Solanum lycopersicum: one gene and its partners. The main gene of each other region encodes a partner of the protein of the gene in region 6 in a complex. Links are inferred from orthologs where the notes say so. Each region holds a gene or a part of one and is shown on either strand. Other genes may lie near its edges. The genes, in order: mediator of RNA polymerase II transcription subunit 11, mediator of RNA polymerase II transcription subunit 27, mediator of RNA polymerase II transcription subunit 16, mediator of RNA polymerase II transcription subunit 17, mediator of RNA polymerase II transcription subunit 25, mediator of RNA polymerase II transcription subunit 13 and mediator of RNA polymerase II transcription subunit 9.

The links.
Region 1: mediator of RNA polymerase II transcription subunit 13 (region 6) and mediator of RNA polymerase II transcription subunit 11 share a complex: the UniProt entries of both Arabidopsis thaliana proteins name them as parts of the mediator complex. The link is inferred for Solanum lycopersicum from reciprocal best matches to the Arabidopsis thaliana genes GCT and AT3G01435.
Region 2: mediator of RNA polymerase II transcription subunit 13 (region 6) and mediator of RNA polymerase II transcription subunit 27 share a complex: the UniProt entries of both Arabidopsis thaliana proteins name them as parts of the mediator complex. The link is inferred for Solanum lycopersicum from reciprocal best matches to the Arabidopsis thaliana genes GCT and AT3G09180.
Region 3: mediator of RNA polymerase II transcription subunit 13 (region 6) and mediator of RNA polymerase II transcription subunit 16 share a complex: the UniProt entries of both Arabidopsis thaliana proteins name them as parts of the mediator complex. The link is inferred for Solanum lycopersicum from reciprocal best matches to the Arabidopsis thaliana genes GCT and SFR6.
Region 4: mediator of RNA polymerase II transcription subunit 13 (region 6) and mediator of RNA polymerase II transcription subunit 17 share a complex: the UniProt entries of both Arabidopsis thaliana proteins name them as parts of the mediator complex. The link is inferred for Solanum lycopersicum from reciprocal best matches to the Arabidopsis thaliana genes GCT and AT5G20170.
Region 5: mediator of RNA polymerase II transcription subunit 13 (region 6) and mediator of RNA polymerase II transcription subunit 25 share a complex: the UniProt entries of both Arabidopsis thaliana proteins name them as parts of the mediator complex. The link is inferred for Solanum lycopersicum from reciprocal best matches to the Arabidopsis thaliana genes GCT and PFT1.
Region 7: mediator of RNA polymerase II transcription subunit 13 (region 6) and mediator of RNA polymerase II transcription subunit 9 share a complex: the UniProt entries of both Arabidopsis thaliana proteins name them as parts of the mediator complex. The link is inferred for Solanum lycopersicum from reciprocal best matches to the Arabidopsis thaliana genes GCT and MED9.

Annotation. Positions count from the first base shown.
Region 1 is NC_090803.1:5,625,740-5,629,714, reverse strand, and holds the start of mediator of RNA polymerase II transcription subunit 11, read left to right. Parts: upstream 1-1,175; 5' UTR 1,176-1,491; exon of another isoform or gene 1,492-1,496; intron 1,497-2,784; 5' UTR 2,785-2,799; coding exon 2,800-2,853; intron 2,854-3,831; coding exon 3,832-3,948; intron 3,949-3,975. UniProt on the Arabidopsis thaliana protein: Component of the Mediator complex, a coactivator involved in the regulated transcription of nearly all RNA polymerase II-dependent genes.
Region 2 is NC_090800.1:77,928,903-77,932,997, reverse strand, and holds the start of mediator of RNA polymerase II transcription subunit 27, read right to left. Parts: upstream 2,801-4,095; 5' UTR 2,490-2,800; intron 1-2,489. UniProt on the Arabidopsis thaliana protein: Component of the Mediator complex, a coactivator involved in the regulated transcription of nearly all RNA polymerase II-dependent genes.
Region 3 is NC_090801.1:59,378,304-59,381,803, reverse strand, and holds part of mediator of RNA polymerase II transcription subunit 16, read left to right. Parts: intron 1-1,548; coding exon 1,549-1,617; intron 1,618-1,790; coding exon 1,791-1,879; intron 1,880-2,900; coding exon 2,901-3,013; intron 3,014-3,248; exon of another isoform or gene 3,249-3,354; intron 3,355-3,459; coding exon 3,460-3,500. UniProt on the Arabidopsis thaliana protein: Component of the Mediator complex, a coactivator involved in the regulated transcription of nearly all RNA polymerase II-dependent genes.
Region 4 is NC_090811.1:1,513,889-1,517,889, forward strand, and holds the start of mediator of RNA polymerase II transcription subunit 17, read left to right. Parts: upstream 1-1,201; 5' UTR 1,202-1,310; coding exon 1,311-1,399; intron 1,400-1,498; coding exon 1,499-1,718; intron 1,719-3,166; coding exon 3,167-3,280; intron 3,281-3,447; coding exon 3,448-3,533; intron 3,534-3,655; coding exon 3,656-4,001. UniProt on the Arabidopsis thaliana protein: Component of the Mediator complex, a coactivator involved in the regulated transcription of nearly all RNA polymerase II-dependent genes.
Region 5 is NC_090811.1:29,982,590-29,986,724, forward strand, and holds the start of mediator of RNA polymerase II transcription subunit 25, read right to left. Parts: upstream 2,801-4,135; 5' UTR 2,643-2,800; coding exon 2,548-2,642; intron 1-2,547. UniProt on the Arabidopsis thaliana protein: Component of the Mediator complex, a coactivator involved in the regulated transcription of nearly all RNA polymerase II-dependent genes.
Region 6 is NC_090803.1:12,755,466-12,758,493, forward strand, and holds the end of mediator of RNA polymerase II transcription subunit 13, read left to right. Parts: coding exon 1-333; intron 334-657; coding exon 658-1,029; intron 1,030-1,411; coding exon 1,412-2,022; 3' UTR 2,023-2,528; downstream 2,529-3,028. UniProt on the Arabidopsis thaliana protein: Component of the Mediator complex, a coactivator involved in the regulated transcription of nearly all RNA polymerase II-dependent genes.
Region 7 is NC_090801.1:55,598,634-55,602,915, forward strand, and holds the start of mediator of RNA polymerase II transcription subunit 9, read left to right. Parts: upstream 1-1,482; 5' UTR 1,483-1,803; intron 1,804-2,898; 5' UTR 2,899-2,939; coding exon 2,940-3,296; intron 3,297-3,403; coding exon 3,404-3,466; intron 3,467-3,548; coding exon 3,549-3,629; intron 3,630-4,013; coding exon 4,014-4,072; intron 4,073-4,212; coding exon 4,213-4,270; 3' UTR 4,271-4,282. UniProt on the Arabidopsis thaliana protein: Component of the Mediator complex, a coactivator involved in the regulated transcription of nearly all RNA polymerase II-dependent genes.

The DNA of each region.
Region 1 (3,975 bases), about 7.1 Mb from region 6:
TATAATTAAATTTTATGTATTAAATGTTTAAAATAGTTTCTCTCTATAAAATAATTTTAATATTAAAAGCACATCGATATTTGTTTTTTTTCGTAATTTGACTTTCAAAAACACTTTTTAAAAAAATTATTCAAACACAAATTGCTTATAAAAACACTTTTTAAAAAAATTAGTCAAACACATATTGCTTATAAAAACACTTTTCAAATGAATTTGCTAAAAAGTTTTTTTAAAAAACTTGTTTTAAGAAAACGTTTTTGAAAATAAATAGTTTTTAGATTAGTATATATTCATTTAATCAGCAAATGTATTTTTAAAGGGAAAATTGTATATAGCAAACTAATAACCTAAAATAAATAGAGTAGGTAGGGTTTGATTTAATTATGCTTCATAGTAAACGTTTGCAAAAAAATTGTCAGGCGCCTCTATCCCAAAAATCTCGTTCGCCACTCTCCTCCAATCTCTCACTCGCTTCCTCACTTTTTACACAAACACAAGTGTATAAAAATTGTTTCTAATTGTATAAAGCAGAGAAAATTGTATAAATACATATATTTTTGTTCCTCTCTCTCCCCTCTTCCAGGTCTCGCTCGCCACTCTCCCAAATCTCGCTCGCCACCCTCGCCTTTCTCACTTATACAAACAAAAGCGAAATGTATAAATTGCGTTTCTGTTTGTATAAAGCATGAGAAAATTGTATATACACATGCAAGTACATATATTTTCGTCCTATACAATTATAATTATACAATAAAAATACCACCCTGCCCAATTTCTTTTGTCTTTCTCTCTTTCTCGTTTTATACAATTCTCAAATTGTATCTAATTTCTCTCTTTCTCGTTTTATACAATTCTATTCAATTGTATATTCCTTGTCAAGTCTTTTTTGTCTTTCTCTTTCTCATTTTATACAAATTCAAATTTTATATAATCGTTCTATACACTTATAATAATGCAATTTGCTTTATACGCTTCGTTTTTATACAGTTCTCTGCCCAAGTGTCTTTCTATTTTTTGTTTTATACACTTCATTTTATACAATTTGCTTCAACTGTATATGTATAGAGAATTATATAGTTTCTATGTGTTAAAGAATGACAAAAAGTCCCACATCGGTGATTAATGAGATGAGTGAACTCCTTATAAGGCTTGAGCAATCCTCCACCCTTTGAGCTAGCTTTTGAGGTGTGAGTTTCCTTTTGAGCTAGCTTTTGGGGTGTGAGTTACGCCTAAGACCTAATTTCACACTATGTTGAATTTTTTGTTTGCTATATCTTTTTTAAAACCTTTATAACATATTAAACAAATAAAAAATTGAAAAAATGTTTTTTTTTAAAAAAAATATGCGTTAATTTAAGCAATATGTTTATTCAATTACATGCTTGTATGATAAAAATAAAAAATAAAAATTACAGGCAACAACTCGGAGCTGAGACTATCTCCGACCACCGGTGACTGCCGTTCTTCTGCCACTCATAGCCGCCGTTGAAGGTAAGGTATGATTGACTTCTCACTTGTAGATGCCGATATCAGACATCTCGCTGGCTCCTTTTTTAATAATAAGAAAAATATTTCGTGCCTGTGCGTCTTATATGTATTTGTATTTGTATCTGAGCTTTGTTTCACTCATGCATGATATGAAATATCGTTGTGCATTTGAGCTGAATTTGGGGCTTTTTGGTTCTTTCGGAGCTTCAGGGATTTGTAATTTGAGGACCTTATTTTTTTGGGTCCTAAATCCACTGCTTGCTTTAGTGGCTGGCTTTAGGGTTGAGCCGCTGCAGTCAGAGATATGAGTGATGAATTCCTCCAAAAAATGGAGAAGAGAGAAGATGACAAAGAGTTAATGAAGTAAGTGGAATATGAAATTAGTGAGGTTTTGAGAGTGTAGGACAAATTTGGAACAGCGAAGAAACATAAGACTATCACTGGTTGCTTGTTTAATAAACTGCAGATCTCAGGTTCAGGGCTATTGAACGATTCGAAAGAGCTCATTCGGAGTTGAGTGAATGGCTACTCCGAGATAGAATTTGAAAAATTGAATTCAAATTTATAAGACTATTGAACAATTAGAAAATTGCAAAAAACGAAATGATTCCATTTGAACAGTAAGGGGTGATTAATCAAGTCTGGCAATGGGTTTGAGTGTCGAAGGAAATAGCCCCTTTGCAGAAATGCTAGAGGAAGACGGTGAAATGTTAGGATTGCTCGTTTGATAATCAGCAGGTCTTGGGGGTAAAGGCGGAGCTAGGATTTGAAGTTTACGGGTTCAGTGTTCTAGTCCTTGATCGTTCGGTATGGGGGATGGAATAGACAAGGATTTCTCTCGTGGGATCAGCTATCCAACTTCTATATGGAATAGCCAATCTCAACATTTTAGAACATATCGCATGAGATTGTTATCCTGCATCTTGCCAACTACACGCAGGATAAAATAATCTCTTATAAATTAATAATTTATACATATTAAATAGATTTCTTAAGACAAATATAGAGTTCAGAGAAAAGTTGTTGATTTCGGCCAAACCCGTACCTTGAAAGAGTGTAGTAGGGTGGTAAGTTTAATGGACATAATACTTATTAGATGTAAGTTTTTCTTCTGTTTTCGGATTGATTACAGAGGATTTAGGTTTCTGATTGTTTAATTATTTGACTGCAAAGATCTCAGAACCAAAATCTCTGAAAACTGCACATAATCAGGTTTTATAGATTCTGTTTATTTCTCCACATCTAGATCGCTCTACGGCATTGCAATTCAGTAATCTTTTTCTCCTGTCCTGACAGCTTCCCTCAGAATACATGGATTCGCAAAGCCAGAATACTTCATTGCAGCGGCTGCAAAATGTTGAGAAGGTAAATGTTTCTACAGGATTATTGACTTAAGATGGGTTGATTTCAGTAGCTGCTATTCTTTGTCATCAAAATACTTAATGTTCTGATTTCAGAATTGATACTACAATATTATTCCTTCCTTGCCCGAGTCCTTGTTACTTGTTCCCCTATCCTGTATACCAAAATGTTTCAAGAAAGAAAGAGAGCGAGGAGAGTACTTTTTGAATTTAGGTGAAATCCATATTTCGTTGATTGGGTGAAACACATAGACAAGCTTGAAGATATATGGATGGTGTTATGCCTCGGTAAGGGACTCCACCATTGAGCTCTCCTAAGCCTTCTGGAGTTCCGGATCCTTCAATTTCTGGGACAACCGGACAAATGAAATGAATGAGAACAAGAGCCGCTTGGCTAGATAACCATGACTAAGAATTTCATGTCACCCACCTAACTGTCAAAATGGGCTGACCCAACCCAACTCAACCCATCCTCAAATCAGCCAAAATAATATAATTCGAAGTCAGAGAATGAAGATGGGAATAGTGTTGAGATGACGACAATGATGAATAAATCAAAGACGCTGTGGACCGAGAATAGGATCTGAAAGGGCTTTTCAAACTTCTGCTTCTGTTGGTTGCTTTCTTCCTGTCTGGCTCATTGAGTATCTTCCACAAACTCCAGGCTGATCTTCAACAGTTGGAAATCAAATCGTATTCGAGATCGTCCTGTCATATGCCCTGAATATCTACTGACACGAGTTTTCTCTGGTCTAACGGAAACAGCATCTCTGTTGTTTCCTAGTCATTGGTTTCTTCAGATTAAAAACGTGGAGATGATATAGCATGTCAAGTGCAAAGGCAACTAATCGTAATTTGATGAGTAAATCACGATCATAACTTTCAATGCGGAGTCAGTAATCACTTTTCTTGATAGAAAAAATTGTAACTGAAACATTACTCTCATACCTTCTGTTGCTGTATCTTCCTCTGATGCTTGCAGAGGATAGTCAGAGTTCTGGAGCTAGCAGGAGGTGTAATGGATGAAATGGCAAATCCGAGCGGCCCCAGGAAGGAGCTTATTAACAACCATTGTAGTGAGTTCATGCAACTAATCAAGGTAAGGACATACTTTACTTCTTTGCAC
Region 2 (4,095 bases), on a different chromosome or scaffold from region 6:
TCTTCAAAAGTTGGAAAACTGCTGTGCAAAAATAAAGCCAAGGTGTCTTCGACTATGTAGATTGGAAAGATTTCAACTTTGTAAGTCAGTTCTTGTATGTTTAATAATAAACAGGGAAACTATCAGTTGACCAAATAAAAACATGGTAATTGTTTCAAAAAAAATTAAAATCCTAAAATGGAAGCCAAAAGCCCAAAACCAAAAAACCAGTACACATCTGGAGAACTATAGTATTCATGTCAAAATAATTGTGAAACAATAAAAACAAGAAAGTGGATCGTGGACAACCAAAGAGGAAAATGCATTAGAAGAGATAGAAACCTAAGTTTCTGGGAGGACGAAACAACTACAAAGAAAAGTAGAAAGAGAGAAGTATTCACAGAAGACTAGAAAGAATCACAATAGAAAACATACTCAGTATCATTTCCAACATAACAAAGAAATGCACAAGCCTTTCTAATGGACAGACTTTCAGCACAATTACTCTATAAAAGAATAACTCAAATTCCTGCTATAGAAACAGCTCTTCCCATCTAATACAACTGTGGTTCTATCTTTTAGTCTATCAAAACTTCATACTTTCCAACAATACAGCTCCCAATCAGCAAATTCCTCATTCTCTTTCCAACAAGTGAATGCTAATTGTTAGCTATATAGAACGCAAGGGATGAGATAATGTGTAATGGTTTTTCAGGTTGAGGCCAAAAGCATAAATGATCAGAGCTTAAAACTTCCGAATAAAAAGTAAGGGACTAGGAATCATCAAAATATGTAGAAACAAACTAATAGTTTATTTGTTGCAAGTCTCCTTGGTGTCCGACGCTCAAACAAACTAAAGACATTTCGTCAACCAGATGAAGGAACTGGCAAAAGAAAAGACAGCTAGCAATTAAGGGACTATGAATCATCAAAATATGTAGAATACCATGGAGAAACAAACTAATAGTTTATTCGTTGCAAGTCTTCTTGGAGTCCGACACCTAAACAAACTAAAGACATTTCGTCAACCAGATGAAGGAACTCTTGAGGTAGATGGCAAAAGAAAAGGCAGCTAGGTTAAAATATCATAGATTAGTAGGTTCTGTAAAGTTAACCGTATAAAAATGTAGGGTTATCGTAGCCCACATTCTCATGAGAAGGAGAAAGTAGGGGACTTAGAATACCCACAACATATAGGATACCAAGGAGAAACAAACTAATATGTTGCTGTTTCCATGTCTTCTTCGTGTCCGGCGTTTAAAGAAAATAAAAGCCAATGAAACTTCCCTGAACCACATGAAGGCTGTATCTCTTAAAGAGGCAAAAGAGAGGCAAGAAGTTCACTATATCATAGATAAGTACCTTCCACACAGATAGCTGAATAGAGATGTAGGGTTATCGTAGCCTACATTCTCATGAGAATGAGAAAGTAGGGGACTTTGAATTTCCACAACTTGTAGGACACCAAGTAGAAACAAACTAATAGGTTGTTGTCTGCATGTCTTCTTGGTGTCCAACGCTTAAAGAAAATAAAAGGCAATCAAATTTCTCAGAGCCGCATGAAGGACATAACGAGCAAAATAGAGGCAACAAGTTTAGTTTATCATAGATTAGTAGCTTCTGTAAAGATAACTGAATAGAGATGTCCGGTTATCGTAGCCTACATTCTCATGAAAGGAAAAAGTAGGGGACTTTGAATCGCCACAACTTGTAGGATACCAAGGAGAAACAAACTAATAGGTTGCTGTTTGCATGACTTCTTGGTGTCCAACATTTAAAGAAAATAAAATACATCAAACTTTCTGATCCAAGTAGAAACCAAAAATGGTTATACAATTGTATAGAGGTGTTTGCTCCAATGCACTTTGAGATCAGACCAATTGATGTCTATCCCTAGAGTATGCAGCCTGAAGAGGTTGATTCCCATGCAATGCATTATTTTTTGGGGGTAAACTGAGCTGTTCAAAGTAGGAAGAGGCCACCAGTTATCAGATTATCGAACAATTAGCAGTTCAAGTTAAAAAATGTGTATGGCCACGTAACCTGCTTACTCATTCTAAGCAACAAGAAGGGGACAATGAATTTCCTCAGACACTTGTTATGTCAGCAGGAGTAAACAAATGAGTTATTAAATGCTTAAACAATTCTTCACCAAGGCTCAAGAACTTTCAAGGCTTTTTTAGCCTTCTTGTGACTTGTCAAATAACCAAAAAAAATAAAGCCTAATGGAGCTAATTTTGACTTGATAGTTCTAATGTGATTCTAAGATAACACTCCCTAAACTAAAAGTCATCCTATATCACTGTGTATTGCCACCATTGAAAAGTGAAAGTTTTGCCAAAGATCTATTAACTGCGGGTGCATATCAACTTCTGCATAGAAACAATCTAACAAAATATTCATATCAGGTCTCATGACAATACAGGTCACTTTGCTAGATGAACAGAAATCAGTATATTTTTATGGAACTCATAAATCGTCGCACTAAAATTCAGAAAATTAAAACTTACCAGTTGAAACTTGGAAGAAAAGACTGAGATGCTGATAGATTGCAAAGCCGTCAATAGAAATCGTGAAAGTCAGGCAATGTCGCTGGTCGTAGACTCGCAGTGAGGCACAGTTTCTGGTAAATTACAACACAATACCATCGAAGAGTTTCTAAAATCTTTGAGCGGTACAAGAAATTGTGCCAATCACGGCGTAGTGTATGAAGAGATGCCGCACCGAACTAGGGTTCTTCGTCTTTTAGGGATGCTGCGATTTAGGTCTGAATGGAGAAGAGGGGCGCGTGGGGGTCTGAAGAAATAGTGTGGGGCGGGTCAGTCATGGTTTTGGGCCGGATTTGGTTTTGAATGTTGGGCCCAAGTGAGAGACTCATGTCCTTGGAGTCTTTTTTTAGCAAAAATAAAAAGGGAAATTTAGCTAACTAGTCAAAAAAATCAACTTATTTAGTGATAATATCCATATTTTAATAATATTAGTCAATTTTTACAATTAATAGTTGTATTCATTCAAAAATTATATTGCATTGTTTCTGAATTTGACTTTTTTTTTTGTAATTTGTATTTATTCTAAAGGTATGTCAACTGTTATGTATTTTATTTAAGAATGAGTACACCAAATATTTAATTATTTCTTTTCAATTTTTTATTTCATTCACTTTTTCATCATACTAATTTTTTTGTGTTTTATATATTATTATACAAAATTCTAAATAAAAACTATAATAAATAGAAATACAAATAAAATATATATTAAAATAAATACATACAAGATTTTTGAAGAAAAAAAATAGGCCAAATACATACGCAGGTCCCTAAAGTTGTTCGCGCTTTTCCCCCAGGTACCTCAACTAACCAAGATTCCTATAAATCCTTTAACCCCCTATAATTTGATCCTTTTAAATATTTTTGGCTGATGTGGAGTCAAATTTCAATAAATTATTTTTGGTAATTAGGCGCGTGAGATGAACCTTCCCCACGTGGAAATTTTGACCAATACACTCCAACCCAATTACACGTCAGTGCCACATATTATGTCATCAAACCTAAAAATCAATTCCCCCCCAAATCACTTTTAACCCGTTTCTAAACGAGAAAACCCTAAGAATCTCTCCTTTTCAATGACTTTTACAACTGAAATTCTTAGATTTTAAAGTGATTTCGAGTGTTTTGTTGAAGGAATCATCGAAGATTGCAGACGATTTTGGAGTTCATTCGCGATTTTCGAGTTGACGAGTGTGAGGTAAGTGACGAGCATGTTGTTGTGGTTGTGTGTTTTTAATATATGTGTTTATCCTGTGGTTTTTATTGATATATACTGGGTTTTAGTATCAATGTGGTTGTTGTTGTTAATATCTAGATAAAGTTAGGGTTTTTTGGTTTTTATTGTTCATAACTGTCAGAAAAATTTGGAGCCTTGTTTCAGGGAATCTTATGGACGCCATTATTATAACTCGTTTTCATCATGGTGGTAAGTTTATTCAGGACAAAACTGGAATTACTTATAAAGGGAAAGTCGAGGTGGAATATGTTAATATCGACAAGGACCACTTCTCAATAATTGAGTTACTTTTTTACACTAAACAATTGGGGTATATTATTGTTGGTGGGTTCT
Region 3 (3,500 bases), on a different chromosome or scaffold from region 6:
GGACAAGTACTAACTCTTCCAGTTAATGAGTCTCTTTTCACATTTCTCATGTACCCCATTCCATATGTCTCTGGACTTGCTTTTAGCTCCCAAAGGCATACCTAGGTAAGTAGTTGGAAGCTCCCCAACCTTGCCTCCTAGTGTTCTGGTCAAAACTTCTGTATTAAGCACACCATTGATAGGATAGATGAAGTTTTTCCCCCAGTTAATGTGGAGACTAGATACAGCTTCAAAAATGACAAAAATGACCCTCAAAATCAGTATTTGTTTTGTCTCAGCTCTACAAAATACCAATGTGTCATCTGCATATTATAGATGAGTTATCTCTAAACTAGAAAGTTCTCCTGCTTGGAACCCCTTGATCCATCCTTTTCCCTTTGCTGTATTAATGAGGTTACTCATTCCTTCCATAGCTTAGATGAATAAAAATGGGGAAAGAGGACCCTTTGTCTCGGGAAAAAGCCAGTGGGTACTCTATTACAAGTATAGAGAACCTGACAGTGCCGATACAATGTTTTATCCATCTTATCGGGCCCCAAAACCCATACTTCCCAACATTTGTATAAGAAAGTCCCAGTTTAAGAAGTCATAGGCTTTTTGTATGTCCAGCGTGCATGCAATTCCTGGCTTATTACTCCTTTGTCTGGTCTCTATGCATTCATTAGCTATCAAAATGGCATCCATAATTTGTCTGCCCTTGATAAAAGCCATCTGATGCCTATCCACCAGGCTATGTATCACCCTCTTGAGTCTCTCTACTAGAAGCTTTGAAGATTCCTTGTATAACATTCCTGTGCACATTCACTGTATAAATGTTTAAAACATACTTTTTGTCAAGATAATCTTCCAGACATGTCTGATTTTTCTTCTTGATAAAGATTCCAACCTGTCTAAAATTGTTTAGCAACCTATCAGTTTCAAAAGAGAACTCTCATCTCCTGGATGTTCATTATGGAATGAGTATTTTGGCATAGAAGTTCTTTTTTGAAAGCATCCAAGGTTATGACCTAGTGGTCAATGAAGTGGTTGAGAGCCATGAGATCTCAGTGGAGACAAAAAAACTAGGTGATTCTTCCCATATATCTTAGTCTTGGTGGACAGAGTTACGTGGTACTTGCTGCTGGTGGGAAGTGAAAGGTATCCCGTGGAATTAGTTGAGATGCGTGAAAACTAGCCTGAACACCACGGTTATAAAAAAAGTAGTTCTCTTTTGAAAATTTCCAACTCCTATGCTGTGACTCTGCTTTGCTATGATCTGTAGAGTGTAGACTGTTCTTGACTCAGAGAACATGGAAAGGAAATCTCCTTTCATGATCTATCACACATTTATTAGTATGCATATATCCTTGAAATCACTATCAAACATGTATAAATCCTTGGTTTCACAATCAAGAACATGCTTTTGATGTTATTTCTCTCTCTTTCTCTCTCCCCTCTCTCTCTCTCTCTCACTCTTTTTCTCCTTGTTCCTCTGGCAGTTGCTTTCATCTCAAATGGATAGATATATTGTCTTTTGTACTGAGTTGCTTTTTTGAAATGTTTTTTTAGTGCTGTTGCTTGGTGTGGAAAGCTAAATGCAATAGCTTGTGCGTCTGAAACATGTGCAAGGATTCCAAGGTTAGAGCCTCGATTTCCATCACTGTAAATTACTTCAGCACTCTGTACTTTACTGCACATGGATATTATAACTGTCCAGTGTTTCTGCTAATTCGATGTGGTCAAATTCTGTAGATATCACTTTATATCTTTCGCTCAACTGTTTTATTCTTATTACTTCTACCTTTTTGTAGTTCAAATGCAAATCCACCTTTCTGGATCCCTATACATATCGTCATCCCAGAGCGACCAACTGAGTGCACTGTGTTCAATGTTATAGCAGGTATTGTAGAATGACTTGACAGTGGCCATGGATTTTTCTTCCTTTTGCAAACATGTTTAGAACCTAACAAACGAGGCCCTCTCCTTTAGGTCCAGCAGTTGTTTATGCATGAGATTTTCTGTTTCCTCCTCTGATTTTCTCGCACATAGAAGGAAAATCCGAGATATTTGTGAAATGGTGAACAAATGAAAACTGAACAGACGGTGCAATGCAAAGCAGTGGATAAACAACTCTTCATGGAGGAACAATTAATTAAGTTCTCAACTTTTTGAGTAATATGTGACGGACCTTCAGTGTATTAAAGAATTCTTAATGTTTGTTGTGACATTTAATTTTTCCGACCATCATATATGGGATGCTAGATTGCTTATCAGTGTTTGTACTAAAATATCTTGGAGTGCCCATTTTGAAGTGACAATTTGAATTGTCTAATTATCATAAATATTTGGTGAGATTGCATCTGGACAAAATGATCCTTCTAGTTTCCACGCAAAGCCCGAATCAAGCTTTGACCTTCTAGCATAATATTAAAAACTATTCATTGAAATTGGAGTTGATTAATTTTTACATGATTGCAGTGGATTAGAAAATAGTTCGAGTAGCTTAAAAACACTTTTACATGATTGCAGTGGATTAGAAAATAGTTCGAGTAGCTTAAAAACACCCTCTTTTCAAGAGGACTTAGTTTGTTTTGATTTCAAATGCGTAAGAGTGCTTTTTTTTCCTTTTTAGATAACTAAATAGGCCGTAAAGCTCTGGTCCATTGTGTTGTTGTTGCACTGAACTGAATTTTGTCCGAAGAGATGCTCACTTTTAACTCTTGTGCATGATTGATTACCGCCAGGTGGTTTATTTTGATATTTCATCTTTTACATTTTACATTCTACAGACTCCCCTTGTGATGTTGTTGCACTGAACTGGCTTTGTCCGAAGAGATGCTCACTTTTAACTCTTGTGCATGATTGATTACCGCCAGGTGGTTTATTTTGATACTTCATCTTTTGCATTTTACATTCTACAGACTCCCCTCGTGATTCCGTCCAATTCATTGAATGGTCTCCAACTTCGTGTCCACGTGCACTACTCATAGCTAACTTTCATGGGAGAATAACAATCTGGACTCAGCCTTCACAAGTAAGCTGTTTTTTCTGGAGTTTACTATAGTGCATTTTGTTGTCCTTTTCACTTTTTGTTTCATGTATTTTTGGTTACTTGCACGTTCTTGGTGAGGGGTTTCTTACCTTTTCCATGTCACATCTGCTAGCCAACATCTTGATTGAGTGTTGGTTTTTCTCATATGTTACAAATTCAAGATTAATTCTGCCTTGTTGCTTCAAAAACTATTCTTACTTACTGCACTTAAGGGTGTGGTCCAATGGTCAATGAAGTGGGTTGGTCGTAGACTCAGATTCCAACAAAGAACACTAGGTGATTTCTTCCTATCTGTCCAAGCCTTGGTGGATAGCTGGTGAGAGGTAGGAGGTACCCTGTGGATAGAGTTACCCAGTTCCTGGTCCTGACACCACACTTTTTTTTTTAAAAAGAACTATTCTTACTTAAAATGTATGCTTGGTACACAGGGTTCAGCTAATCTGGTACGAGATGCTAGTTGTTGGCAGCG
Region 4 (4,001 bases), on a different chromosome or scaffold from region 6:
TAATTGCTTCAAACTTTTAGATTTTTTTAAATAAAAAATTTATTGTTCTTTTGTATTATGAAATTATATAAATATGAAATTAATTGATTTTCTTAGTTAAATTTTACATGTATATTAATGCATCGTCAAAAACAGAATTGAAATAAATCTATTGTCAAAGAATTGCATATGCTACTACAATGTTCAAAATCAAATCATTAAGTTTTATTGAATCTATGAACTCGTGATTAGACCGATCTGTTACTGTAAAAATAATCCTTAGCCGCCAAGAAAATAATGAAACTAAGATGTTTATTGTAATGTATATAAGTAAAATTTATTCACCAATCATATTTATTTGAGTTAATATATGTAATAATATTTTTAACTGTGTTATTTTCAGTATGAAAGTTATGCATGAATATAAGACGCATAACTTTTCTGTAGACCTAGTTACTATCGAAACTACAAGACGATTTGCTAACTATCGAACCTTTTTGAATATTTAATTGCATGATTTTCTTTTCAGATAGGTTGATCTTCAAATTTTACCTTTAATAATTGATAATTGCACGATTTTTCTTTTAAATAGGTTGATCTTTAATAATCAAACTTATACCTAGCGGTACATAAGTTCTTTAAGGGCACACGTGCTATAACTTATGAGATATTATGATTAAAAAAAATCTAAACTTACGTCCCACCAAAAAAGTTATTGATTTATCATAAGAGACAAAAATTGAAATCAAGTACAAATACGATAAAAGCGCAAATAACTCATTTTTTGACGAAAAAATTACATGAATTAATACATTTTAAAATATAATTACTGATTTTAGCTATATTTTTTGTTTATTACCATTTATAGCAATACTGTAATAAGTCTGTAATATGTATTAAAAGTGAATTATGTATGCAATATATATGAATTCTAATTGTTTTTGAAATATATTATGTTTGTTTGGTAAAAAATTGTCGCATTGTACTATAAGTGTATTAAAATGTGTTATAAGTGTATTATCTATCATTAAAACTTGTATTACATGTGAATAATAAATTGTTCTGTGTAATATGTATTAAACTTGTATTATAAATGAATTAAAAGTGATCAAGCGAGTACATTTACGTAAGTTTCCCTTTTTTGACCCACCAAACCAAACATGAAAGGGCCATAGTGTGGTTCGTAATAGGCCCATGATTTAAGCCCAGATCTTAATAGGCCCATACATTAAGCGAACCAAACCCCAATTATTTTCGACGGGTATTTTCCCCGATTTAGGGCACAATTCGGGATTTCTCCGACACTTCTTCCCGGAAAATCTCCCTGAAAAATGAACGGCAATCTGGAGATTTCCGTCGACAAGCTTCCGATCAAGCGTTTAGAGTATATTGAAGAACAAGGCGCTGAACGCTTCCCTTCGTACACTTTCTTTCTCTCTCTATATAAAAATGTAGAATTTCATGCATAATCAGTTTGTGAGCTGGATATTTACATTTAGATTTTTCGTAATTGTTGCAGTGATATAGGATACGATGAGAAAACGGTGAATTTGATTAGGAGAATTGATTTTGCGTGGGCAGTGGAAAGAGAAGAGCCAAGTAAGAAGCAGAAGAAAAGCAGTAGTGCTACTTCTTCAAAGGAGACAAGTAGCAGTCAGCCATGGCAATGGCAGAGTTTGGTGGAGAATTTGCGATTGGCTCATCAAGAGCTTCAAGTCATTATCGATCTCATTCACACTGTAAGTGTTAACATTAGAATTTTGGCTTATAATTTTAATGATTGAACTTAATGTCTATATAGTTTTGATAGAAAATAGTTCAAATTAAGTTTTAATTGTTCTGATATTTACATCTGGTCTGGTGTTTGTGTGGTGTCTGGTCAAAGACTAATGTGTGATAATTGTGAGATTTTGAGAATAATGAAGTTGAATAGAGAAAAAAGAATGGTGAGCAGGTTATAGGTTTGGGATTTTATTCTTTTTGAGTTGATGATTTCTAAATTAGTAATTTGTACTTAGTAAATGGATTGCATATGATACCTACAAAGTGGGCTAAAACTACTAGGTTCTGCTGAACCTGCTTCCCACACTCTAGCTCCGCCTTAATACGGAGGTTTAGTCAATGCCAACTAGTGTGCGATTGAGGTGTCGGTTGATTGATTGATTATTTGTTGGTACATGTTTAGTATGTCTTGTGCCTAGCTGGTTGTGTTCCATGCACTTACCATAAGAGGAAAACTTTGTGTTTTAGCCTGATAATGTGCTTGAAAGTGGAATACATTTGTCTTATGCTGTACTCATTATTGGCCAATTGAGTTTTTGTGGCATGCAGTTTTAGACTGAATGATACAGAGTAGTGTTTGCATCATGGATAAATGTTAATAAAATTTCATCTATGAGAATAGAGCACACTGGTTTTATTCCAATGTTGAGGTTTATCACGAGAGTGGGTTGGAACATTTTTATTTAGTTATCAATATTAGTAAGGTATGAATCTAATTCAGAAAATACAATAGAGAACTGTAAAATACACACATGTATGATCGTGAATGTACTTGAAAAGTGGTTAGAGAAAGAAGATCAAGACATCTTATTTACAACAGAGGAATTATTAACTACCTCTAAGTTGTTCCAGTAGGGAATTTCATGTGTGCGTGATAAAGAAAGGCCTTTTGGAAGGTGTAAAGTTGGATACACCACATATTGGATTTTTGAATTGAATCAACGTGGCTTTTCTAAATTGCAATAGCTACACGAGTATCAAGCTACTAAGCCACACTATGGAAGTCTGGGAAAGGGTGGTCGAGATGAGGATGAAGAGGGGTGTGTCAGAACCAATTCAGCTTGAAGCCATGAAAGGAGATTGTTTGAGCAGTATAGGGAGAAGGAGAGGGACTTGTACATGGTGTTCATTGACCTAGAAAAGGCATATGATAATGTCCCTAGCATATCATTTACTCCTCATTATCAGTATGATAGAGACAACTAAGGATTAAAAAATTTGACTTAAGCTTTCGGCATTAGTTATTTAAGTGGCATGAGATTCGTCAGTCCATTTGCTCCTTCAATCCCTTTTTGCCCCTTCTCCCTGGCATTTAAGACAGCACCTTTCTTAGGCATAAGATGAATAAATTAGCAGGAACTGTGGATTATGTATTGCATTGTTGACTCTGCTGTTCTGCATACAGGTGGAGGCAAACGATGCAGTGACAGTGGCTGGCATGACCAGGCCAAAGCAATTGCCCAACGAGCATCTGTCAGACCTTGCCGTGTCTATGGCAACCAAGCTGCAATGCTTCCGTGTATTTTACTTTATCCCTTCTGCAAGATGTTATGGTTGATGTATAAGTTTGAGTTAAACAAATAATCCACTGATTATCTTTAAGTCTAATGGTTTGTTGACAAAGTATAGTTATGCACTTCATTAGCAAAGCTGTATGTGTTTCGTAATTTGGCTTTTCTTTTGCAGCATTTGGGGAAATATTTTAAGCAATCTGCCAAAGCTTTGGAACAACAAGTGGCTAGAGAAGCAAGATTTTATGGTGCTCTTATCAGGTTTGTTCTTTGTGGCTACGAACAGTATTAGTACATTGTGAAAGATATGTGTGCAGTCATTTAGACTACCATGTCTTTGTGCCTTTCCTCAAAATTTTGGCTATTTCCTGATGAGCTGATAGATTGCAGCAAAATTGGAAGGTTAAATGGCATCGGATGGTTGCTGCTGCTTCTGGAAATGAAGGGTTTTACATTGATTTATTTGACACTTCATTATATGATCCAGCGGTTGCATTTCGCCCATCTTCTGCATCTGTGGTGCGTATTGAGCATGACCCAGCTGGGATGCTGGCTGTGAATTTACCGCCAAATTCCTGCCGGACTCTTCAATTTGAGTTTCTCGGTGCAAGTACACCTGCTGGTGTTATAAAACATAGCAGACTGAGACCAAAGGTGTCTTTTGAGGATTCTTCTGGAGAAACTAAGAGAGAAAAAAGTGATGATGAGCATGTGAGAGAAACTCATTCG
Region 5 (4,135 bases), on a different chromosome or scaffold from region 6:
AGAATTTAGAAGAACCACTCGGCGGAGGTTTCTGCATCAGCCATTCAAGCCAAACAAACTCCCCAACTGTTTCAGCTAAACGATCAGAAAGCCAAACAAAAATAAATAGCCATGGTAAAGCAAGATAAAAGGAAGAGCTGAGTAGGTGAAGGAGGATGAATTCTCAGTCATTTGCTCAACAAAACATGTGTTTTTGCTTGCATATGTGCGGCTCAGCATATTTGAGAAGAACACCGAACTGATATCAATTCAAAATTGGATGATCTCACCTTTCAGAAATACCAGTAAAAGAAAGAACTAAGAAGCATCTCAAATGAAGAAACCTAACTGAAAATCGATAGAAATCTATAATTAAGTAGACCAGCGATAGAAGGTCAGAAAGCAGGTCTAGTTATCCCTCTCAGTGGTCAACAAGAATTGTTAGCAAAAGAAACCTGCAAATGTACCTTTCCTTGACTACAATAATTTTTTCCCTTGAACATATTCTTCTCGTTAGCAACCTGAGCTTGCCCCTAGAGGGGAAACATATACATGACCTTGAGTGGCATATAATCAACCTTGTCATGGACAGGGTTATATATAGTAAATAACCAAAATGAGTTGCATCCACACCATATGGATGGAGGATTTTCCCTGGTAGTCTTGGATAGACTCTACTCCCATTTAAACATGGCAGTATATTAAAAACATCTTAATAAATCCTTCATTCGAATTGTGCCCAAATTTTCAAATATAGATATTGATTTAAGATTTCTCAATAGTTAATCTTAAGTTTTAAATTTAAAATCTGCATTTAATACTTCTCCAGAGTTTATATATCTTACGAAGCAGGGAATGTAGTGAGCCAGCAAGTCAACTAACAGTCTAAGAAATTGAGGGTCTCAATAAGTTTATTGGATTGAGAAAAATATGCCACAAAGATAACTGTAATGCATGCATAATAGTTGGCAAAGCAATAATATCTTAAACAGCATAATTCAATTAACATGGCTTCTTTTAGTTTCCTTCAACCAAAGAACGGAAGTAATATAATTGGAAGTCGTTTATCCAGTTTTACTCTAAAAAGCCTATTTCTAAACAACTATTATTGCTGAAATGCCTCTTCTGAAAGAGAATTAACCTTGTTTACTTATCCTTTCAAAAAAATAGTTCCATCCATGCAGAAGATTAAAATACACTGTTGATTCCAAGCTCCGCAGACTTAATCAACACGCGACTAAAAAGTTAAGAGAAAAAGGTGAACAACATTTTCCTATTAAATGATCATATTTCCCTTATTCATGCTTATCTGTATACCTAAGGGCTTGGTCTATTTAATTTTTGCTAGAATAAGAGGGGAATTTGTCGGTCTAAATAATTAACATCGGATTTGTGTTGCCTAAAGGTTTCACTTTGACTATCTTCTCCAACACTTTGACTTTGAGGGGGTAAAATGCATATATTTTGTTTTCTTGATGTCACATTTTGGTTGTTTAACATCCTCATTGTCTATTGCTGCAGTATTACCTCACTTTTAAAGAAAGCAGATGAGCAAGGCTATGGTGCCACTATAAATTCAATTAAACACAATAAATATAAATCAGCTAAGTAGTCAAAGTGGAGAGATAGAATAGAGTAACCAAATTTCTGAAAAACAAAGACCACAGCTGTTGAAACTTGAAAAGAAGAATCACTGATTGAGAGCCTTAAGAAATTAAAAATGAGAGAGATACGAGATGATGAAGGTTGCCAGAGAATTCATGGAGAAATAGTAATTGTGTGAACAAGAAATTGTAAGTAGGATTTACGTTACTAAGGCTGTTGCCTCGACTCTTAAAAATGTCACGAGGTGGATGTCGGATACTTCAAAAGTAGTAAATTTTTGGAGGATCCGACAAGGTTGCGGCAACATTTTTGGAGATTACGAGCAACTTAGGTTTAGGGTTTGAGAGAACCATGTAAACAAAAGATCTTATAGAAGGGAAGGGTGGGTAAAGTGCAAAGGTTGGAAATACCAATCATTGCAAACAACTACGAGTTCTTTAACCGCCTCCCTTCAGGAATTAGACTTTTTGTAAGCCATTCATTCTAATTTTCATTTTTCAAAGTTAAACTTCGGTATCAAGGCTTCAAAAGTTTCCCATATTAGTTCAGAGAAACTCAAATGCTATGTGCACATGATTATCACATAGAGAAATGGTATTCTCCTGAGCACAGCATTTTCTCAATGATTTACTAGCATCGGAATGCAGCATTTTCCGTAAAAGATATTTACAAAATTGAATAAATAAACAACTCAATGTATTCATAGTAGACGAGTTTGAATCTATGGTCTGCTGAGGTCAGGAGTTGGATTTCAATAGCTTCTGACCATAATTTTGATTAACTTCGGGTAAAGGTTGAGGTTTTAATCCCCATCCTAAACTAGGGAAAGATAATCGGCCGACATACAACAATTCATCCAAATAACGAAAATCAATGACTGAATTCAGGATGAAATACTAAAACAAAAATGGGAACAAGTAGAAAAAACAAAAACTGAAAATTTAAGTGTATGAAAATGAGTACCTGATAATTTTATCAAGGTAATCGGAAACGATGATTTTCCAGTAAGGGCCCAACACAGCGGTGCCTTCAACGGCGACGATCAGTTTGTCCACCATCGCTGCTTTAACCAACTGCTTGATTTTTCCTTTCCACGTCCAACCTTGTCTTGTTTATTCTTTTCTTATAAAATATTACTCTTTTAACAATAATAATTTTGTGCAGCAGCCAAAGACACAAAATGTTGACTTGTAAATACTATCCCTAGGGTTTGTTTGTTTTTTAATTTATTTCCCTAATATTTAACATTTATATATATATATATGGAAATAAATAAATTCTCAATAAGAATTAACACACCAAAAATAATTATGGTAAATATTGTATTATGGTAAGTTACTGTACTAAAAGCAACTTCCATTGCAAATCGTTGTGTGATCGTTTCTTCCAAAGTTATACAATTACTTCTAAATACGTATATTCGTAATTGGAAGTTGGGAGTTTACATTAAAAAAAAATAAGAATAAAAGAGGACTCTATGTGGTTTTTGTTCACAAATGAAGTTGTTTAAGTAGATGAAGAATTTCGGAAAATGTCAAGTCTCATATGATGACCTGCGGACTGGCAAGATGGTTTGTAGAATGGTTTGCGATTCAAAGAGAGGAACCGTAGGAGTGTCCTAGAAAAAATTTGAGGAACTTTGGGTTCTATGAGAGGGCCCTACGGATCGTAGGAAGGACTTTGTAAAAGTTGACCCAAATCTCAGTCTTCATTACTCGATCTATAGTTGATTAGTACGAACAATAGAAGTTTCTATAATCTGTAGGTGGCACCCATAGAGTCGATCCCACACTATTTAGTAGGGATATTCCAGTGTTTTCCCACCCTTTCTAAGCTTAAACCCCAACATTTTTACCTCTAATTAAGGGCTAAACATTGTTGATCAACTCTTTTACGTTCATTAGCACTCCCAAGACTTAGAGTAATCATCCATGATGAGAAAGGTAGGGTTTTCAAGCATCTTCTTCAAGTTCTTTGCGTTTCTTAAAAAAAAAATGGTCTTCCAAGTATATAAGGTTATTCATACTGATAGACTGAGTTCGTCCTCATGCCCTACATCTAAATTCAGTCAATAAGAGTCTAATCTAGGGTAATACCCTTAGTTTTGAGAATTCTTGATATGAATTATGTTATCAATTTCAAGTTCTAAATTCTTAATTTTGAGTTGCAATATATTATGCATCGAGATCTTCGAGTTGTTTTCCATGTTTATATTTCCACTTGAACTCTATGATGAGTGGTAGATTTTCACTCATTTGAGGTCTTTTTAGTTCAACAATTAGTGTCCTCGTTGCCTGTTTATGTCCTATCTTGATGATATTTTGAGGTTTTTAAGGTATGAAGGATAAAGGACAAGGCAATGATGAATACATGGAAATAGGGCCAAAAACATTGTAAGGAGTACAAATTTCCAACTGGTAGTCGGCTAATAAAAATGGTGGATCGCCTGATTGGTCTGACCTCACCCAAGTTGACTGTGTGCACAATTTTAAATATTCAAGGCAGGTTGGCAGACTAAACATGAAAAGGCAATTCGCCGAAGTTGAATGGG
Region 6 (3,028 bases):
ACACTCAGTCTGAAACATCTGTACCAGATGGTTTTGGATCTGCACATCAAAAATCACTTCCAAGCCTGCATTGTTGTTATGGTTGGACTGAAGATTGGCGCTGGCTGGTGTGTATATGGACAGATTCCAGGGGAGAATTGCTTGATAATCATATATATCCATTTGGGGGAATAAGTAGTAGGCAGGATACGAAAGGTCTGCAATCTTTGTTTGTGCAAATTCTGCAACAAGGATGTCAGATCCTTCAGTCATGTCCACCTGAGGCTGCCATTGCCAAGCCTAGGGATTTTGTCATTGCTCGTATAGGATGCTTCCTTGAGCTTGAATGCCAGGGTAAACATTTGTCATCAATATCTTGTGCTTACTGTCTACTTTTGTTACATCATAATACTCATTGGTGTTGAATTTTGATGAATCTGACTTGCTGTCTCCGTCTTTAATTGCGACAAAGTTTTAGCTGATCTATTTTTTTTTATTTTTTATTTTTTGGTTTGGCTGTGGAACACAAACAATTTAATTCTAATATATCTGTGTGGGATATGATGAATATCTTGATAAAGTATAACCTTGGTTGGTTTTGATTTGAGCGACTAAAATGAAGTTTCTGTTTGATTTATCAATCATGCTTATCTTATTAATGCAATTTTCTGGACGCAGAATGGCAGAAAGCCCTGTATTCAATTGGGGGATCTGAGGTGAAGAAATGGTCTCTGCAGCTAAGGCGATCTGTGCCTGATGGAATGACTGCAAGTAGTAATGGGACATCCTTGCAGCAACAGGAAATAGGTCTGATTCAAGAAAGAGCACTTCCTTCCTCCCCTAGTCCATTGTACAGTTCTCACTCAAAGGCTTCCTCTTTCATGAAAGGTGGCTTAGGTCAACCATCCACAAGGAAGCAGTTAATTGGCGGACAGGGTGTAGTGGACAACTCCAGGGGCTTACTTCAGTTGGTGCAAAGCATTAGTTTTGTCTCTCTTTCTATTGACCATTCCTTACAGCTTATGATTCAAGCGGACTCGACAAGTCATGGTACAATTCCTTACAATTCCTCTCTTCTTTTTTTGTTTTTTTTTTCAGACTACCTGTTCTCTGATAGAGTTGACTGTGGCTTTCTTTTAGATTCTCTTATTTACAATATGGGCTGTAGAGGAGATACTAAGATTATATGAAGTAAAGGGAGGAATAGTGTAGGTTAAGGAATTGTCGTTGGGATATGGGTTACCAAGGGAGTAAAGTGGGATAGGGTTACCATTGCACTTCTGTGTCAGGTTCTTCTTTTGGGTAGTGGTGATGTTGGGGCTTACCATATGAGAATCCATTAAAAAAATATTTTCTTTTGATTTGTCATCAGTTGACATTTTTATGCCTGGTTATTTCTGTTTCATATTCATGCATGGTATAAATTTTGCAGGAACAAGTCAAAGTAGTGGCATTATGAGTCAGCCAGGTTATCTTGAAGGTTATACCCCAGTTAAGTCCCTTGGTTCTACGTCCACCTCCTACATTCTAATTCCGTCACCCAGTATGAGATTCCTACCTCCTGTCAGTCTTCAGCTTCCTACTTGCCTGACTGCTGAATCACCACCACTTGCCCATCTTCTCCACAGCAAGGGATGTGCCATTCCCCTTTCAACAGGTTTTGTGGTTTCAAAAGCTGTACCTACAATGAGGAGAGATGTAAGGAGTATCTCAAAAGAAGAATGGCCCTCAGTTCTTTCTGTCAGCCTCGTTGATTACTATGGTGGCAGCAACGTCATCCATGAAAAGTTTTTGAAGGGTGTTGGTAAGGTTGGGGGAAGGGGTACAGGTTCGGAAACAAGAGATGTTGAAATAGCAGCTCACTTGATTCTTGAGAACATAGCTGCAGAGCTCCATGCTTTATCATGGATGACTGTAAGTCCGGCATACTTGGAGAGAAGATCTGCTTTGCCTTTACATTGTGACATGGTATTAAGGCTTCGGAGACTGCTTCACTTTGCCGATAAGGAAGTTTCTCGGCAACCTGTGAAAAGCCAAGTTTAGGATACGTGTAAATTGCAGCATACACACAACTTGTTCAAGCCGTCCATCTTGTGTCTTTGTTTCGTTATAGAAACAGACTGTAAACACAAAATGCATATACTAGTTCGCTGGAGAACATCCTTTCTGAGAAGTGTTACCTTGGGATAAATTAGTAGTTGTAGGATAGTAGATTTTTATTTTGTACATAATGTCATGTAAACTATTACAGGGATCCAAAGAGTTGAGTACACAATTCTTTAGTCCTAAAAATACTATCAAGTGCTCGAGTCCCTCATTATCTTTACAACATTCCAAGGCACTTGATGACAGGATGGTTTTACTAGACAGCAGATTTGTGACTCTTAGTTCATTTTTTTAATTGCTGAATAGCAGTGCTTAGTGCATGGGAAATGGGGATCTCAAGTTAGGCTAGTTTGGAGAAATGATGTGTCATCTGTACTTTGAATCCTTGAAAATGGCAAAGTTTTGCCTTTGTATTTTCCATTTAATTTCTTTGAGGGGACTAATCTGTTCTCTGGTCTTGTTTTCATTTTACTTATGCTAAATATAAACAAAGATGGAAGGCATGAACACTACCAATCTCAAACTAATAATGATATTATTTATCAAAAATGACTAGCTCTAGCAGTCGTATAAGTGCTTTATGATCACAAGTTTCAAAAGTTAATATAAGTGTCGGTACTTTACTAGTGGATTAAAATGTGTGTTCGTTTATCTAAATAGATCATTTGGCCATTTCAAAACTCAAATGGGCAACAAAAATGACAATTAACATAGGCATATTGTAAAGTTGATTTATGCAGGTATGAATAAGGTAACCAACCACATCATTACTAATGTTGGATTATGAAAAGCAAACTAGTCTCACTTGTTGTCACCATTAAATTTGGATTCATATCAGAATATTTCGAAATTTTTACCTAGGCTTTGGATTCGAGATTTCTAGAGCTAGCTTATATTTTGTATTAGTCAATTGATCTAATAGTCCAATGTGCCAAGGCTTGAG
Region 7 (4,282 bases), on a different chromosome or scaffold from region 6:
TAAATTTGGGGTATAGATAAATGATGTTTTATGCTAAAAATAATAATTTAAGGATGTAGTTTAGATTTCGGGTATAGTTAAAAAATGTTTTTGGCCAAATTATACCCTATATATAAATAAAATGCTATATAATATTGCGATATATAATTAATTGAACACCTATGACAAAGTCTATTGGTCTGCTGGTAAGCATGTTCATTTACGTGCAAGAGGTCCTCAGTTGCAACATGTTTTTTAAAACATAAAACACACTCTCTTTTCAATTATGTGTAAGAGATCTGTATTAAGTGACTTATTAGGTATACACATTCTCAAGATTTTATTTTAAAGAAAAAATTAAAGATTATTATTTATTATTATACTTTTGAGTATTTCTAAAGTATCTTTCTATTTAGAAAAAGTAAAATAGTTAAGAATTTGAAAATAGGAGAAAAAAACTCATCATAATCGTGAAAGTCACTCTCAAAAGGCTCATCATAGCCCTTTTTGTGACTCGACTCAAGCTCATCATACATTATTCGATATTTGAACTATTCAGTTATTTAAATTACAAAAAACACTCGACAATTTATTTCATATGAACTAGAGGGAGTATATTTCAAGCAAAAATTATTTTGTGACTTTTGTCCATTAGTTTTGATTTATTCCATCGATAGTTTTATCATTTTAAATTTCCGCAAGATTTAGTTACTAAGTGATGTGTAATTTAATTTCTCACACATTTGCAAAAATAAATTTTGTGTACCCACTTCGCTAAAAAAATTATCGACTCTTTTAAAGTTTGAACAACCTCGGCGAAATTTCTGGCTCCGCCACTATTTGGCGAGTAACATACTCATCATACACTTTCTTGGATATATCGCGTTAATTCATTCATCATCAAGATAAATGATTTTGATCTAAAAGTTGATGTCTGGTGCAACCTCTTCATAGTGGAAAAGTGCTTTTTTTTCTTCTAGGTCTTGACTCCTTCATACATGTCCTTGATCTTCTAAATATACGTCATAGAGTCTGGCATTAATACATACATTTTATGAACCCTAAACACCCAAAGGGACCTCCAAAAAAATTTGGTGTGTGTTTTATAGAGGGTCCCTTTTAGTGTTTAGGGTTTAAAAAGTGTCCGTTTTGATATCAGACTTCTACATACCTCCAATTTCCAAACATCTCCAAAAAACCTCCTTCAAGACTCTGTCTAAAAAACTTTCCAATCAATGAACATCATATGCAAGTTTTTCTATTTGACTGTACTTATTTATCAATCTCTTTATAATGACTTTTGAATACATGTGAAACATGCTTAGATATCAAGTGTATAGAATAAATTATATCTAATTTTGACTCATATGTATCTATTTTGTAAAGTTCTAAGAGAAAATATAATTAGAAAGTATAGTTTCAACCGATAAATAACACAAATGTAAATGTGTGTTTTGTGTTGTTTCCTCTTAATTTAAATACAATTCATTCAAATTTGAATGCACTAGTGATCTACTTTTTTATTAGTTCAATCTATTTCAGTTTGTTAAAATATTAGTTCATATATAAATCAAATCGGTTAATGAAAAGTGAGTTTTATGTATTTTGAATTAGTATTTTAATTATTAAAAATTATCTATTTTTTTTTAATACATACTAAATTTTATACTATAGAAAATGTTAAAATTTCTAAATTAGCTTGTTTGCTCTTGAAATCGAAACCTCCCCACAAATTGGGACAGCGGGAGTAATTTCAATTTTGCTATTTGAAAAAACAGAGGATTTTCCGTTGGGGTTTAACCGGATCGGGCCTTTTCATCTCCGGTAATCTTTCTCGTTTTGTAATTCTCATCGTACTTCTGCTTTGTTATTAACTGTACTAGTTGTGGTTTCAGTAAAGTTTAGCTTCGTATAGTTGTGAATTCATTCTCTTGTGGCGGCTTAAATCAAGGGTTTGGTTGTCAGTGTTATAGCAAACGAAGATTCTGTTCAGAAGATTTAGAGTTCTTTTTTGTTGGAAATTTTGAGGTTGTGATTTTGACCTAAAACTGTTAATTTCATAGATAGAGAGATATTTGTATGTTAGTAATAGGGAACCTCTAGGGTTATGAAAACCTAAATTATTGAATATTGGAATAGATGGGGTTCTAATGGAGAGAATTCATATAGTAAACCCAAACTAATTCGGGATTGAGGCATACTTCTTGATTACTGAGCTAAATTAGAGATAAAGAGTAAGAGGTGCAGTTGGGATTGATTCATTTCTCACTTTAATAACTATCTAATTTTACAGTTTTAGGTTTTGTAAACTTTTTTAGTGCATACTAATAACTATCTACCCTTTTGGTTTGCTTGGGATTGCTAGCTCCTTAGCTTTAGTTTAGGATACTTGTATGAGTGCTGAGATTTTTTTTATGCCCTTCCGAATTAGAGCTAAGCGGTCGCATATTTTGTAATCTGGCATCTACCCGATGCCCATTCAAGGATAATTTTTAACCTTATCAAAAAGACATAGTTGCAGCAGTAATTTTTTCCGATGTACCTATTGATTTAACAATGTGAACACCAAATTTATACAGATGTCATGGTAGTTTTTACTTGGAGATAAGAGTTTACTGTTTGTTAAATTTCAAAGAAGAGTTTACTGTTTGTTACGAGGGATGGGCTTCAGTTTTAGAGGGTCTCACTTGATGGCTTTGTTCTCTTTGGTACAAAAGAACTATTCTTGTAATAAGATGTGGATGAAATGTCATTTAGGAATGATGGGAAATATATTTTTGAAGTGGTTTGTACATTTCAGAATCTTAGGAATTATTTCTCTTTGCTACTCAGTCCATTAGGCCAGTTCATGCTTTGATAGTTTTGGCTATTTGTGTAGTACTTGATTACATCTGATGACATTAATTTTATCCATTTTAGAACCAAAGTACCAACAGATTTCAGCTCAACAGCCATTAGTTATGGACCACTTTGGAGGAGGAAGTTGGACAATGATCCCCAACATCCAAACTCACAGTAATCCTTCGACACCCTCCAATCAAGACAATTTATTTCTTCAGCAACAGCAATTTCAACAACAACAGTTCATTCAACCGCAGCTCTATCAGCAACAACAGCAGCAGCAGCAGCAACAACAACAACGGTATCAACAACAGATGCAACAGCAACAAATGCAGCAGCAGCAACAGATGCAGCAGCAGCAAATGCAGCAACAACAACAACAGCAGCAGCAAATGCAGCAACAACAACAACAGCAGCAGCAGCAACAACAACAACAGCACCACCAATCACTTGCCTCTCACTTCCATCTTTTACAAGTATTGGGCAAAAACCATGATCTGTAGCTTGCTATTTTAATAGAGTAACGAGACATTTCTCTTTCCTAGTGAGACCTTTTGTTCTAACTTTTATTGTCATCTTACAGCTGGTGGAGAATTTAGCTGATACAATTGAAAATGGAAATCGAGATCAGCACTCAGATGCATTGGTTTGTTCATTTCTTGATTGATGCATTATATGTTAGTTTTCCATTTCTTCTACATTAAACCGGGTGTATTTTTCCTCACCAGGTAACTGAATTGAAAAATCAGTTTGAGAAGTGCCAGCAGCTGTTGACATCAATATCAGGGTCTATTAGCTCAAGATCTATGGTATTTCATTTTCACACATATCCTTTGATTTCTGTTGTAACTTGTTCTGAACACACCCCCAACTCAAAAAATAAAAAGAAAAAAGAGAGAGACTCCAACAAAGAGTTAAGCGCAATAATATGAAAACAGAACTTCAAAATTATTCTTTTCTGGAAGAGTTGGATTGTTTTTCTTTTGGCAGTGTTATTGCTTTTAATTGTGCTTTTCCATTTGGGCCTGTTTGTTCAACTTATAGTTGTGAAGAATTTTACTGAAAAGTGGGGTTCAATATGTTTGAAACGATGTTGACTTGAACAAAGTTGCTCCACAAATTCTTATTTGGTTGCATGTTTTGATGCTTAAATATGGGTAAGATAATTGACCAGTCCTGTGTTCTTTGGACAGACAGTTGAGGGACAAAAGCGCAAAAAGGCAGAGTGCGAACAAATGCTAAATCAGCGAAGGTTTGTATTATATATATATAAAACACACACACACACACATATATATATGTGTGTGTGTGTGTGTTTCTAATATTGTCTACTGAAATTTGTATAATTATTATTTGCTTCATCTGATGGTCATGTTTCATGCTTAATTACAGGGATCTTATTTCGAGGTACAAAGGCTCAGTTGAGGAGATTATTAACTCTGAACTATAGCTCATACTCGCA